3 linked regions of the Sus scrofa genome follow. The protein of the gene in region 1 interacts with the protein of each later gene in a pairwise test. Links are inferred from orthologs where the notes say so. Each region holds a gene or a part of one and is shown in the gene's direction. Other genes may lie near its edges.

The links.
Region 2: the proteins of KLHL41 (region 1) and NRAP interact in binary tests that used the Homo sapiens proteins (3 or more experiments, as listed by UniProt). The link is inferred for Sus scrofa from reciprocal best matches to the Homo sapiens genes KLHL41 and NRAP.
Region 3: the proteins of KLHL41 (region 1) and RCHY1 interact in binary tests that used the Homo sapiens proteins (3 or more experiments, as listed by UniProt). The two-hybrid records come from large-scale screens. The link is inferred for Sus scrofa from reciprocal best matches to the Homo sapiens genes KLHL41 and RCHY1.

The regions. Positions count from the first base shown.
Region 1 is NC_010457.5:75,874,168-75,877,920, forward strand, and holds the start of KLHL41 (kelch-like protein 41), read left to right. Parts: upstream 1-1,526; 5' UTR 1,527-1,767; coding exon 1,768-2,877; intron 2,878-3,753. UniProt on the Homo sapiens protein: Involved in skeletal muscle development and differentiation. Regulates proliferation and differentiation of myoblasts and plays a role in myofibril assembly by promoting lateral fusion of adjacent thin fibrils into mature, wide myofibrils.
Region 2 is NC_010456.5:123,927,989-123,931,491, reverse strand, and holds the end of NRAP (nebulin-related-anchoring protein), read left to right. Parts: intron 1-794; coding exon 795-1,106; intron 1,107-1,865; coding exon 1,866-1,991; intron 1,992-2,046; exon of another isoform or gene 2,047-2,559; coding exon 2,560-2,664; 3' UTR 2,665-2,930; downstream 2,931-3,503. Other genes in the region: HABP2 (hyaluronan-binding protein 2), read right to left, coding at 3,234-3,398. UniProt on the Homo sapiens protein: May be involved in anchoring the terminal actin filaments in the myofibril to the membrane and in transmitting tension from the myofibrils to the extracellular matrix.
Region 3 is NC_010450.4:71,168,411-71,172,063, reverse strand, and holds part of RCHY1 (RING finger and CHY zinc finger domain-containing protein 1), read left to right. Parts: intron 1-1,638; coding exon 1,639-1,717; intron 1,718-3,136; coding exon 3,137-3,181; intron 3,182-3,290; coding exon 3,291-3,349; intron 3,350-3,437; coding exon 3,438-3,464; intron 3,465-3,653. UniProt on the Homo sapiens protein: E3 ubiquitin-protein ligase that mediates ubiquitination of target proteins, including p53/TP53, TP73, HDAC1 and CDKN1B. Mediates ubiquitination and degradation of p53/TP53; preferentially acts on tetrameric p53/TP53.

The DNA.
Region 1 (3,753 bases):
AAAATTGCTGATTAATAAGGAATAACCTCAAATGTCACATCATGGTGTTTGCATATGACTCGTTAATCTTTTCAAATGTTAGGTGTTACGTGTAAAGAGAAATGAGTCATTTATTGTTTTAACAAGGGAGCAGCTGTTAGTTTTTTTCTACTGTGTTAAAACCTTTAGTGGCATCTATATATGGAAACGAGTCAATGAGCTCTTCTCTCAGCTGTTGGTTTAGCAGCTGACAGTACCATTGACTTCACCGTGATGTAAAATAAGAGAAAAAACCTTTACTCTTGGATGGAGACCTTGAAGTTTAAAAATACATAATTCCCTGATTGGGAGTGGAATTCATTTGACAAATATTTATGGAGCACCCAAGAAGCCCTGTGGCTGTAGTGCTGAACAAAACAAAGGTCCCCCAAATCCCTGTCTTTATAGAGCTTATATTCTTTTGAGCATGTTTAACCTTTGAAACTACAGTGTTTCTACAGCCCCACTGCGTTATGACAGTATAATTTTGTGATAAAATAATTCATGAAGATGTATTGATTTTTTTCAAATAATGCCTTCTGCATCCCTTGGTTGATATGGTGTCCTATTCCAGTCAACAAATTACAGCTCTAGTTCTATATATATATTTTTTATTCATGTGTAAGTCCTCCTGTTTTTCAAGTTATATCGGTGAGGTAGCACTTTGTTCTGATTTTGCTATGTTCTGTTGATAGCATTGTTCTCATGGGGTTATATCTGTTCCGTTTTACTTTTTATTTAATTAAAGATCAACACTTAAAACCACAGTGATCATATTTTATGTGTGTATACCTTCAGTATAAAGGAACTTTTGTCAAATCATTAAGATTAGCCACAGGAGCTAATTTTTCTTTTTTCTTTCCCTAGTGTTAGCTTTTAACCTTTTTTTTTTTTTTTTTCTGGTCTTGATTCCTTTTAACTTTTGCCTTTAATTTGCTTGTTTTATTCTTATTATTATTTGCCACATCAAGTACTTTGTAGAGCAGGGCCAGGTGTGAACAAATTAGATAATTTTACAATTTAACTCAATACTAATTATAGTTTTTCCGCCTGAGAATAAAGATAATTTAGAATGTCTTAGAAAATTAGCAGTTTCCCTGCATTTATTTCAATCATGATGGGGAGTATTATTCTAAAGTTTAAAAAAAAAAACTGTAATTAGAGTAACTAAGTAGAAGTTTTATGTTTCCTACATCTAAAAGAAAATTACATATCCCACTGTTTTAGGTAGAAAATAAAAATTTGTGTGTAACAGTTATTGGAAAGTTATGAGTATCCAAATGAACTCACCTCATATTCTTGACCTTTGCATCATTAATTCAGATAGCCAAGTAGTTTGCCACTAGACCATTTTTAGCGGACTGACTCATTTTTATGATTCAGTTTTCTGTTAGTTCAATAAGCATTTTCTTGTGGTAGCCTTTAATAGCATACCTCCTAATACCTTATGTATTTTAAAGCTTTCCACCTCATTTAAATCTCTTGTTTCTTAGCTGTTTCCTTAGTGATTAAAAGTTCCAGTTGTGCCTTTCAATCTGTAACAGCTGCAAGAACAACTCTTCTTTCCAAACCAGCTCTCTCTCCTAAATTCCCGTTGTTAGAGTTGGTATCTATATTTAGCTGGTGGGATTAAATTGCAAAGGCTTCAAGCTGGGCAAAGCACACTGATCTGCCTTTTTACTGCTAGACCTGTGTGCTGTGAGGAGCTAAGGCCTTAGTGTCCCCTTCCTTACCCAGGTTACTCACAAAATGGATTCCCAGCGGGAACTCGCAGAGGAACTGCGGCTTTATCAATCCACCCTGCTTCAGGATGGTCTAAAAGATCTCCTGGATGAGAAAAAATTCATCGATTGCACCCTAAAAGCAGGTGACAAAAGTCTTCCTTGCCACAGATTGATTTTGTCAGCGTGTAGTCCTTACTTTCGTGAGTATTTTTTATCTGAAATTGATGAGGCGAAAAAGAAGGAGGTAGTTCTAGATAATGTGGATCCTGCTGTACTGGATTTAATCATTAAATACCTATACTCTGCCACTATTGATCTCAACGATGGAAATGTGCAAGATATCTTTGCCTTGGCCAGCCGCTTTCAGATCCCCTCGGTGTTCACCGTCTGTGTTTCTTATCTTCAGAAAAGACTTGCTCCTGGTAACTGTCTAGCTATCCTAAGATTAGGACTTCTTCTCGACTGCCCAAGACTTGCCATCTCCGCTCGTGAATTTGTGTCTGATCGCTTTGTACAGATTTGTAAGGAAGAGGACTTTATGCAGTTGTCTCCACAGGAGCTGATCTCAGTCATTTCCAATGACAGCCTAAATGTAGAAAAGGAAGAAGCAGTCTTTGAGGCAGTGATGAAATGGGTGCGAACAGACAAAGAAAACAGGGTTAAAAACCTTAGCGAAGTGTTTGATTGTATCCGTTTTCGCCTCATGACAGAAAAATATTTTAAAGATCATGTTGAGAAAGATGACATAATTAAAAGCAACCCAGAACTCCAGAAAAAAATCAAAGTTCTCAAAGATGCCTTCGCAGGCAAACTCCCAGAACCCAGCAAAAACACAGAGAAGGCTGGGGCTGGTGAGGTGAATGGTGATGTTGGTGATGAAGATTTACTTCCTGGTTACCTGAATGACATTCCCAGGCATGGAATGTTTGTCAAAGACCTCATCCTCTTGGTTAATGACACAGCTGCGGTGGCTTACGATCCCACGGAAAATGAATGCTACCTTACTGCCCTGGCTGAGCAGATCCCTAGAAATCATTCCAGCATCGTCACCCAACAAAATCAGGTATATGTGGTCGGAGGACTATATGTGGATGAAGAAAATAAAGATCAGCCTCTACAGTCATACTTCTTCCAGGTAAGAAAGGCTGTTTTCATGTAAGTAGAGACATGAGGAAAGACTGTTGCTCACCATCCAGTTAGTTGACTTGTGAATTACTCAGACTGCTTGGATTTTTATTCTATTTGACATCCTATCCCAGTCCCTTGCACTTTCCCTACTTAGAGGGCTGGAAAATATGTAGTCAGTTACTGCATGTTAATGTTTAATAAACGTTTAGGTAAAGAATGAGGTTCTAATTAATGTATAAGTGATGGCTCCCGATTTTCTTTGCAGTCTTTTACCCAAAATGTCATGTTTGTAGTTGATTGTGACTGTAATCCTTTAAAACCCAGTCTTTTAGTAAAAACAACATTTAATCATGTATCCTCTTTCTGAAAAATAGGTTACTGCATTTCCCCAACTCAAAGTACTTGACATATTACAGAAAGTTATAATTGATCTGATTTTCTATCTTTTGCCAAGTTTCCTTGAACTGATTTGAAGTTCTTGGAGGTAGCATTTCATCTCTTATACATGGTGATTGCCTAAAATATAATTCTGTTGAAAGTGAAAAGGACTTATATACATATTTTACACACTTTGGATTACCTTCTAGGAAATACAAGTGTCATTGATTTGAATTAATTAATCATATTTAGAAATTTTTATTTATGATAAATATGCAAATTTATTTAGATCAGAGTTATACTTGGACACTACTGCAACTTAGTCTGTTTTATGAGGCCATAGAAAGTTTCCAAAAAAATAAATCCTCCTCAACTAACAGATTCTTTGTTGTTTGTTTCAAAGGAGTACGTTTCATATCATCAGCGTATTATACTTTACCAGTTTATGAAGGAATCAGTGGCTTAACCTTCGTCTTTAATAATGCCAATAGCAGTACTTTGTAGC
Region 2 (3,503 bases), on another chromosome or scaffold:
TCATGCCCAGAGCAGGTGGCCAAAACATAGCAGCCGTCATTCTCAAAGAGGAAGCCATGATTCACTAGATATATGCTCATTCCTGAACGGCTCGTTACTGGTCCAAAGTGAGAGAAGTACAGAAGTCAAGATCAAGCACTGAGAACCATTTTTAGCATTTGGACATGATGACATCCAAGCGTGTGACCAGTGGATTCCTCTGGCTGAGCAGAGTGGGGGCCAGTTTGAATGTTATCAAATGCACCTCACGCTACTTCATGCTAATCATGGGCAGGAGGCCCATGGATTGGACTTTGACGGATTGGAAACTTAGAAAAGCAAAACAAAATAAATCCCATCCTTCACTATAGATGGTTTGAGGAGCGCTAGACTGGGTCCCTGAAAGCTAGAAAGAATCAAAGACTGAGGGGCTGCTGAAGAAATAGTTGCACTTCTCTTGCGGTTGGATCATTAATTATTACAGCAGCAATGATCCCAGCAGCCCCCACTCAGTGGGCTCGAGCCTGAGCCAGGCATGAAGCTCAGCCCCCATCTCAGTGCATCCTCTCAATATCCTGTGGAGTAGAAGTTCATTCTCCCACTTTGTCAAGTGGGGCAGCCAAGGCTCAGAGTCTCAATAACTGACCCAAGGCCACACAGCTAGAAGGCAACAGAGGGAGATACAGATCTCGGGTCAACTTGACTCTGAAGCTGTGCTCTTCACCCACTGTTGCACTTCCTGCTAAGCATCCTGAGGGCTGACCCTGGAGGGGTGGGGCGCACCCGTGACCCCTGTCTGTTCCTCTGACCTACAGTTCCGGTACAAAGAGGCTTTCCTGCGGGATCGAGGCCTGCAGGTTGGGTACCGAAGTGTCGACGATGACCCCAGGATGAAGCACTTCCTCAGCGTCGGCAAACTGCAGAGCGACAACGAGTACAAGAAGGACTTCGCCAAGAGTCGGTCCCAGTTCCACAGCGGCCCGGACCAGCCTGGCTTCCTCCAGGCCAAGAGGAGCCAGCAGCTGGCCAGCGATGTGAGCTACCGGCAGCCTCTGCCCCAGCCCACTTGCGACCCAGAGCAGCTGGGCCTGAAGCACGCACGGAAGGCCCACCAGCTGCAGAGCGATGTGAGCCTCCCCCCGACCCCTGCCCAGGCCTCACCTCTGTGCTTCTTCACAAGAGATGGCCCTGGTCCCCCGTCCCCAAGGCTGAGAGAGAGCCCAGGAGACCTAAGGTGATAGCATCAGAAGACATGACAAGAACCTCAGTGTCTTGAGTCCTTCTTGTGCCACGTGCTTTCTGAGCTCTATGCCCTGTAGCTCTCACAGCCATCCCATTACTGCCCCCACTTGACAGATGGGGAGCCTGAGGCTTAGGGAAGTGAATAACTTACTCCAGACCACATGGCAAATAAGTGGCAAGCCTGGGATCTGAGCCCCCTTTGGTTTGATGTCAGAGCCCAAGTTCTTGGTCACTGTGCCACACTGTTCCCAAGGGATCTGAGTAGTGGCCCAGCCCAGCCCAGCCCACCCACTTCCTCTGGGAGGCAGCTGAAGCCCAGAGTAGAGAAGCGACTTCTCTAAGGCCACAGAGCAAGTCCAAGTAGGGGCTCAGCCTTGAACCAGATCTCTGATCTGCCACCCCCACTACAGCCCTCACCATGTAGGTGGAAAGATACAGGAGACGGCAACAGGCTGGCCCAGCTTACAGCACACTGGATCCTCAGTGCCAAGGGAACTCCTGCCAACAAGAGTTGGCCCCCCCTTATCCTGGCTTCACTGACTACAGCCCGTTCTCCAGGGTGCCCTTTTAAGCCTCTCCACTCTGTATCTAAACCACCCCAAACCCTGCTGACCTATTCCTCTTGCTTCCCTCCATCCCCCAAGGTCAAGTACAAATCAGATTTGAACCTGACCCGAGGTATTGGCTGGACACCTCCTGGCTCCTACAAAGTGGAGATGGCTCGGCGGGCTGCAGAACTGGCCAACGCCAGGGGTCTCCGGGGGGCTTACGTGAGTAGCGGGTGCAAACCCACCCCAGCTGGCAAGGCCTTGGGGGAAGGCAAACTCATTGTTTCTTTTCAAACTTTATTTTTGGCCAAAGGTCAGCTGGCTCTAAAGATGTGTGAAAGGCAGCTCAGGCAAGGCGCCTAATTTCCTGGGCCTGAGATGACCAGGCGGATGACACCCGGGTTAAACTTCCTGCAGGGTTTTTCTGAAGTCGCAGCCATTAGTTCTTCGGAGACAGACATGCTGGGGTGACATCAATCCGGGCCGAGGCAGCCCAGGCTGTGCTGACCGCCTGCTCGTTACATTCGCGGAAGGGGTCAGGGACTTGCTGGCTACAGCAGTCTGGGTTTTGAACCGTACTTTGTTCAGAAGAAAGACACCACGTCTAAACGAGAGATGGGCTTGTCTTCTTTCTCTTTCTTGCCTTGAGGAGCCTTTTTCTTGGGGAGGGTGGAGGAGGGCAAAAGGAAGGGGAAGGTGAACAGGTGAACATCCATCGGAGACAGCTTGTCCTGTAGGAGCAGGGCCGGAGCTTCGTCTTAACTCAGGAGGGTGTGTTTGGTTTCTGCAGGGGGGGCCGGAGGCTGTGGAGACTGGTGATAATCAGAGGGGGGACGTGAACCCAGATGCCACCGAGATTCTGCACGTCAAAAGGAGGAGGGCCTTGCCATTGTGAGTGGGCAGCATCCACCCAGGATTCTTGGGAGTGAAGCTGGAGAGGAAATTTGCACGCCAGAGGCATGACTTCAGTTGGGGCAACTGTGAAAAGGGCTCAGCGGCCCTTCCCCCCCAGCCCCCTTTATTAAAATAACATTTCGGAAAGCGGGTGGAGAAGTGTGTTTTGGTCCCTGTCGAATACCCACAAGTTGGATGCCGGCTCTGTTGCATGCGTGCTGAGTGTCTGGGATGAGGAATAAAGATGGAAAGGTGGCCGCCACCAACGCTGAGCCTCGGAAGTCTCGCATTTGCACATGTCCAAGGTGAAGGCAGTCTGTGAACACTGATTTTCTAGAAGGTACAGGTGTGCAAAGGGAAGCAAACATCCTATATTTCAGGTTGATTCATGTCTAGCTTTCCCAGCGGGAGCCTGAGGAAGTGGCGGACATGCTGGTCCCCTGCTGGCCACCAGTGGTCTCTGCTTAGAACGTAGTCACCCAGAGGCTCCACGGGGTGCCCGCCACTGCCCACGAGGCCTCACCTGATCTGAGTATTATCGAGGAGGGGCCGTGAGCTTCGGAAGACCCCCTAGAAGCTGGCCTCCCTTTCCATGGTGGCTCTGATCCAATTCAGGAATGTGGTCACTTGGGTGTACACCCCTGGCTTCTTCCCACACTCCAGGCCCCAGCTCACTATCCCATACACGTAGTAGGCATCATCCTTCTCACAGGTCAGGGGGCCTCCAGAGTCACCCTACGGGAACAAGACACAGGAGTCAGCTCTGCGAGCCAGCATGCATTATTCAGAGACACCTCCCACCTTCCGTGAGGGGGACCAGGGTGATGGGGTGAGGTCGCT
Region 3 (3,653 bases), on another chromosome or scaffold:
CTGGAAACCTCCATGTGCCGCGGGAGCGGACCTAGAAAAGGCAAAAAGACCAAAAAAAAAAAAAACAATGGCGTACCAGAAAAGTAATTATAACATATACAGGTGAAAAAGATTAATATTCAGAATACGTACAGAGCTCTTTTAAATTCGTTTCCTCAAAAAACTAAAAGTAGAACTGCCATATGATACCATACGCAATTCCACTCTTGGGAACATAATCTGAAAGAATTGAAAATACTGATTAGAAAAAGTACATGCATCCTAGTTCATAACAGTAGCCTAGATATGGAAGCACTCTTAAGTGTCGACCAATAGATGAATGGATAAGGAAGATATAGTATGTACACAACACACACACAGACACAAACACAGGCATACACATAAACACAATGGAATATTATCCAACCATAGAGAAGAATCAAATTCTGCCATTTGCAATGCTGTGGGTAGACCCGAATAGTATTATGCTTAGTGAAGAAGTCAGAGAAAGACAGATGCTGTATATTATCACTTATGTGTGGAATCTAAGAAATAAAACAAATGAATGTTTGTAACAAAACAGGAACAGATTCAGAGATATACAAAACAAAGTAGTGGATACCAGTGGGGGGTTGGGGAAGGGACAAGATATAGGAGTAAAGGATTAAGAGATACAAACTGATACATATAATAGGTAAGCAGCAAGGATATATTGTACAGCATAGGGAAATATAGACATTATTTTCTAGTAACTTTAAATGGAGTATAATCTATAAAAATATTGAATCACTATGCCATACACTTGAAACTAATATAATATTGTAAATCAACTATCAACTTCAGTTAAAAAAAAAAAGCTGATTAAAGGCAAATACCCAAGTGGAAAAATGAACCGAGCACATGAACAGACAATCCACAGGAGAAATCCAAATGGTTCATAAACATGAAAATACGCTTCCTGTCTCATCATTTGAGAAATGCAAATTAAAGTGCCATTTTTCATTTGTCATGTAAGTAACCAGTGTTGGCAGGAGTGTGGGGAACAGAGGTACCATCACACACTGTTCGTGGGAGTATAAATTGGTACCATCTTTGCAAGTCAGTTTGGCGGTATCAGAACTGCTGATGCAATGCCCTCTTACCCCATAGTTTCACTTTTAGGAATCTTATAAAAAATCACCATGTAGGTTGTGATGTCTATATATAGGTATTTATTATGTCATTGTATTAACTAAAGATAGTAAATCATGTCAATAAAAGTATTAAAATTTACAGTATGTTCCTATCATGTAATCCTGTGTAACTATGAAGAGGAATGAAGTGGTTCTATATATTCACACATAGAATACTCTTGAGGAAGTACTGTTAACTGAAAAAAAAGTTGCCAAGCAATATATATAGAATCCATCTATGTAAAAAATAAAACCCAAATTGTGTCTATGTGTATATTTGTAGAGAAAAAGACATGGAAGGGTAGATAATCATTCTCCTTAGAGTGTTTACATTTGGGGAGTGAGGTTGAGGAGGTAGGGATTTATTACTTCATCTTCAGTGTGGTTTGAACTTTATAGTGAAATTAAGCTTATATATAATGAACAAATGATTACTATAGTAAGAATGAATCTGAACTTTTGTTTTTCATATTTTTTTTTTTTTTAGGATTGGTCCAAAGGAAGATTTTTTCCACTGTTTGAAATGTAACTTATGCCTAGCAATGAATCTCCAAGGAAAGCACAAGGTATATAATTCAGTTCTCATGATTTAAAAACTATTACAGTGTTTTTGAAAATACCTTAAATCCTAATTTGTTTAGGAACATGCTGATTTTCAGATATTACCAAGTCGTTCATGTCGCTTTTTATTTTTAAGCAATACTAAGAAGTAGATGTTCTAAAGCTTACGTGTCAGAACATCTAATCTATAATTCCTTTTCTCTATATAAGAGTACTTACATTTTTATTAGTATAATGTAGACAAGTTCTAAATTGGCTCATGGATTCTTATTATTGGTACTGGTTTTAAGAATAGCTTTATAATGTATGATATAAAGTGTAACCTTTTGTTAGCATTCCTAGAAAATTTAGTATTTCTTTCATAATCTGAAATATTTTTTAATTTGGATGCAGCAATTATATCATGATTCTAGGCCTTTTAAACATTATTTTTCATTACTTAGAAAAAAATCTAATAACTCATTTACAGTGCTGATTCTGTCCAAGAATTTAGAGACTGAAGAGACTGATGAGGGGTTTTGAATACTATATAGTAGGTAATAACTGGCCTAAAATACTAGAGTGGTAAGAGAAATTGAGGTGAATAATAAACATATGGGATATGCTGACAAGGTGTAAGGGAGAAAGAATGAGGCTGAATAAAGACTCCCAAGGATTTTAACCCTGGCTTAAAGTACTTGATTAATAGATTGTGAATTTGTAGGAGATAAAAAATTAAGGTTAGTTTTACTGGCTTTAGTTTGGGGTGATGGCAAGATGTGCTCTGTTGTCTTTAGAAAAATTATATACCTATTTTCTCTTGTAGTTTTGTTTCTTAGTTATTTTGTATTGTCTGTGTTTGTAAATGGTCCTGTCAACTACTCAAGTGCTTACTTAAAAAAACCTGGGCATCATCTGTGGCTTGGTGCCTTCTCTTACCTCTTCACAGATGACACTATCTTGTCAAGTTAAGATCTCAGGCCCTGGAGGTCTCCTGTTGGAGCTCAAATATATTTCCATCTCTTGCTAGTATGTAATTTTGGAAGGTTATTTAGCGTTTCTAGGCCTCAAATACCTCATCTATAAAATGGAGTAATAATTGTACCTGTTTCATTTAGAGTTGTGGGGATTAATTGGGTTAATACAGGTAATGAACCTGGCATATGACATGTGTTAAAATTTCTGTAATGTGAACTGTTATTTTGTTATTTGTAAAATGAAGAGAATTTGAATAATTAAGACACATTAAGCAATTTCATTGTCTCAGGTAATGTACACAGCCTGAAATAGTTGTGAGAGTTAACTGTTCAGTTCTTGTCTGACATACAGGAAACGTGTATTAATGTTACTTATTACCTTTAGTAAGCTGGTATTGTTTCATTTGTTAGTTTTTTTATAATTAATACTATTAAGCTTTTGGTAATTTTAGTTTTGCTTTTAAACAGTGTATTGAAAATGTTTCCCGGCAGAATTGTCCAATATGTTTGGAGGTGAGTTTAAAATGTTTTTAGCTTTGGAACATTCTGTCTTGGATTGAAAGTACTGATTATTTATATTGTCTTCGTGTAAGTAAGCACTAGCATTTATTTCCTTTTACAGGACATTCATACATCCCGTATTGTTGCTCACGTCTTGCCATGTGGACATCTTTTACATAGGTAAGGTAACTGGTTTTTTTCCTCAAAACATTTGAAAATAGTGTAGGTACTTTTTGCTTTACTAAAATAATGTTGTGTTTTCTTTCAGAACATGTTATGAAGAAATGTTGAAAGAGTGAGTGTTTGATGGGATTTTAAAAAATTGTAATTGTAAGATGTCTGTTTTTTCTTTTTTTGAAAGGAGGGGGAACTGGGCAGACTTTGCAGTTACTTATATAGGGTATGGCAGAGACTTCCCTTGAGATGGGTCAGGTTGTGTTAAATCGGTGGAGCACGTTAGGTGACGTGGGACTATGCCTTTGTT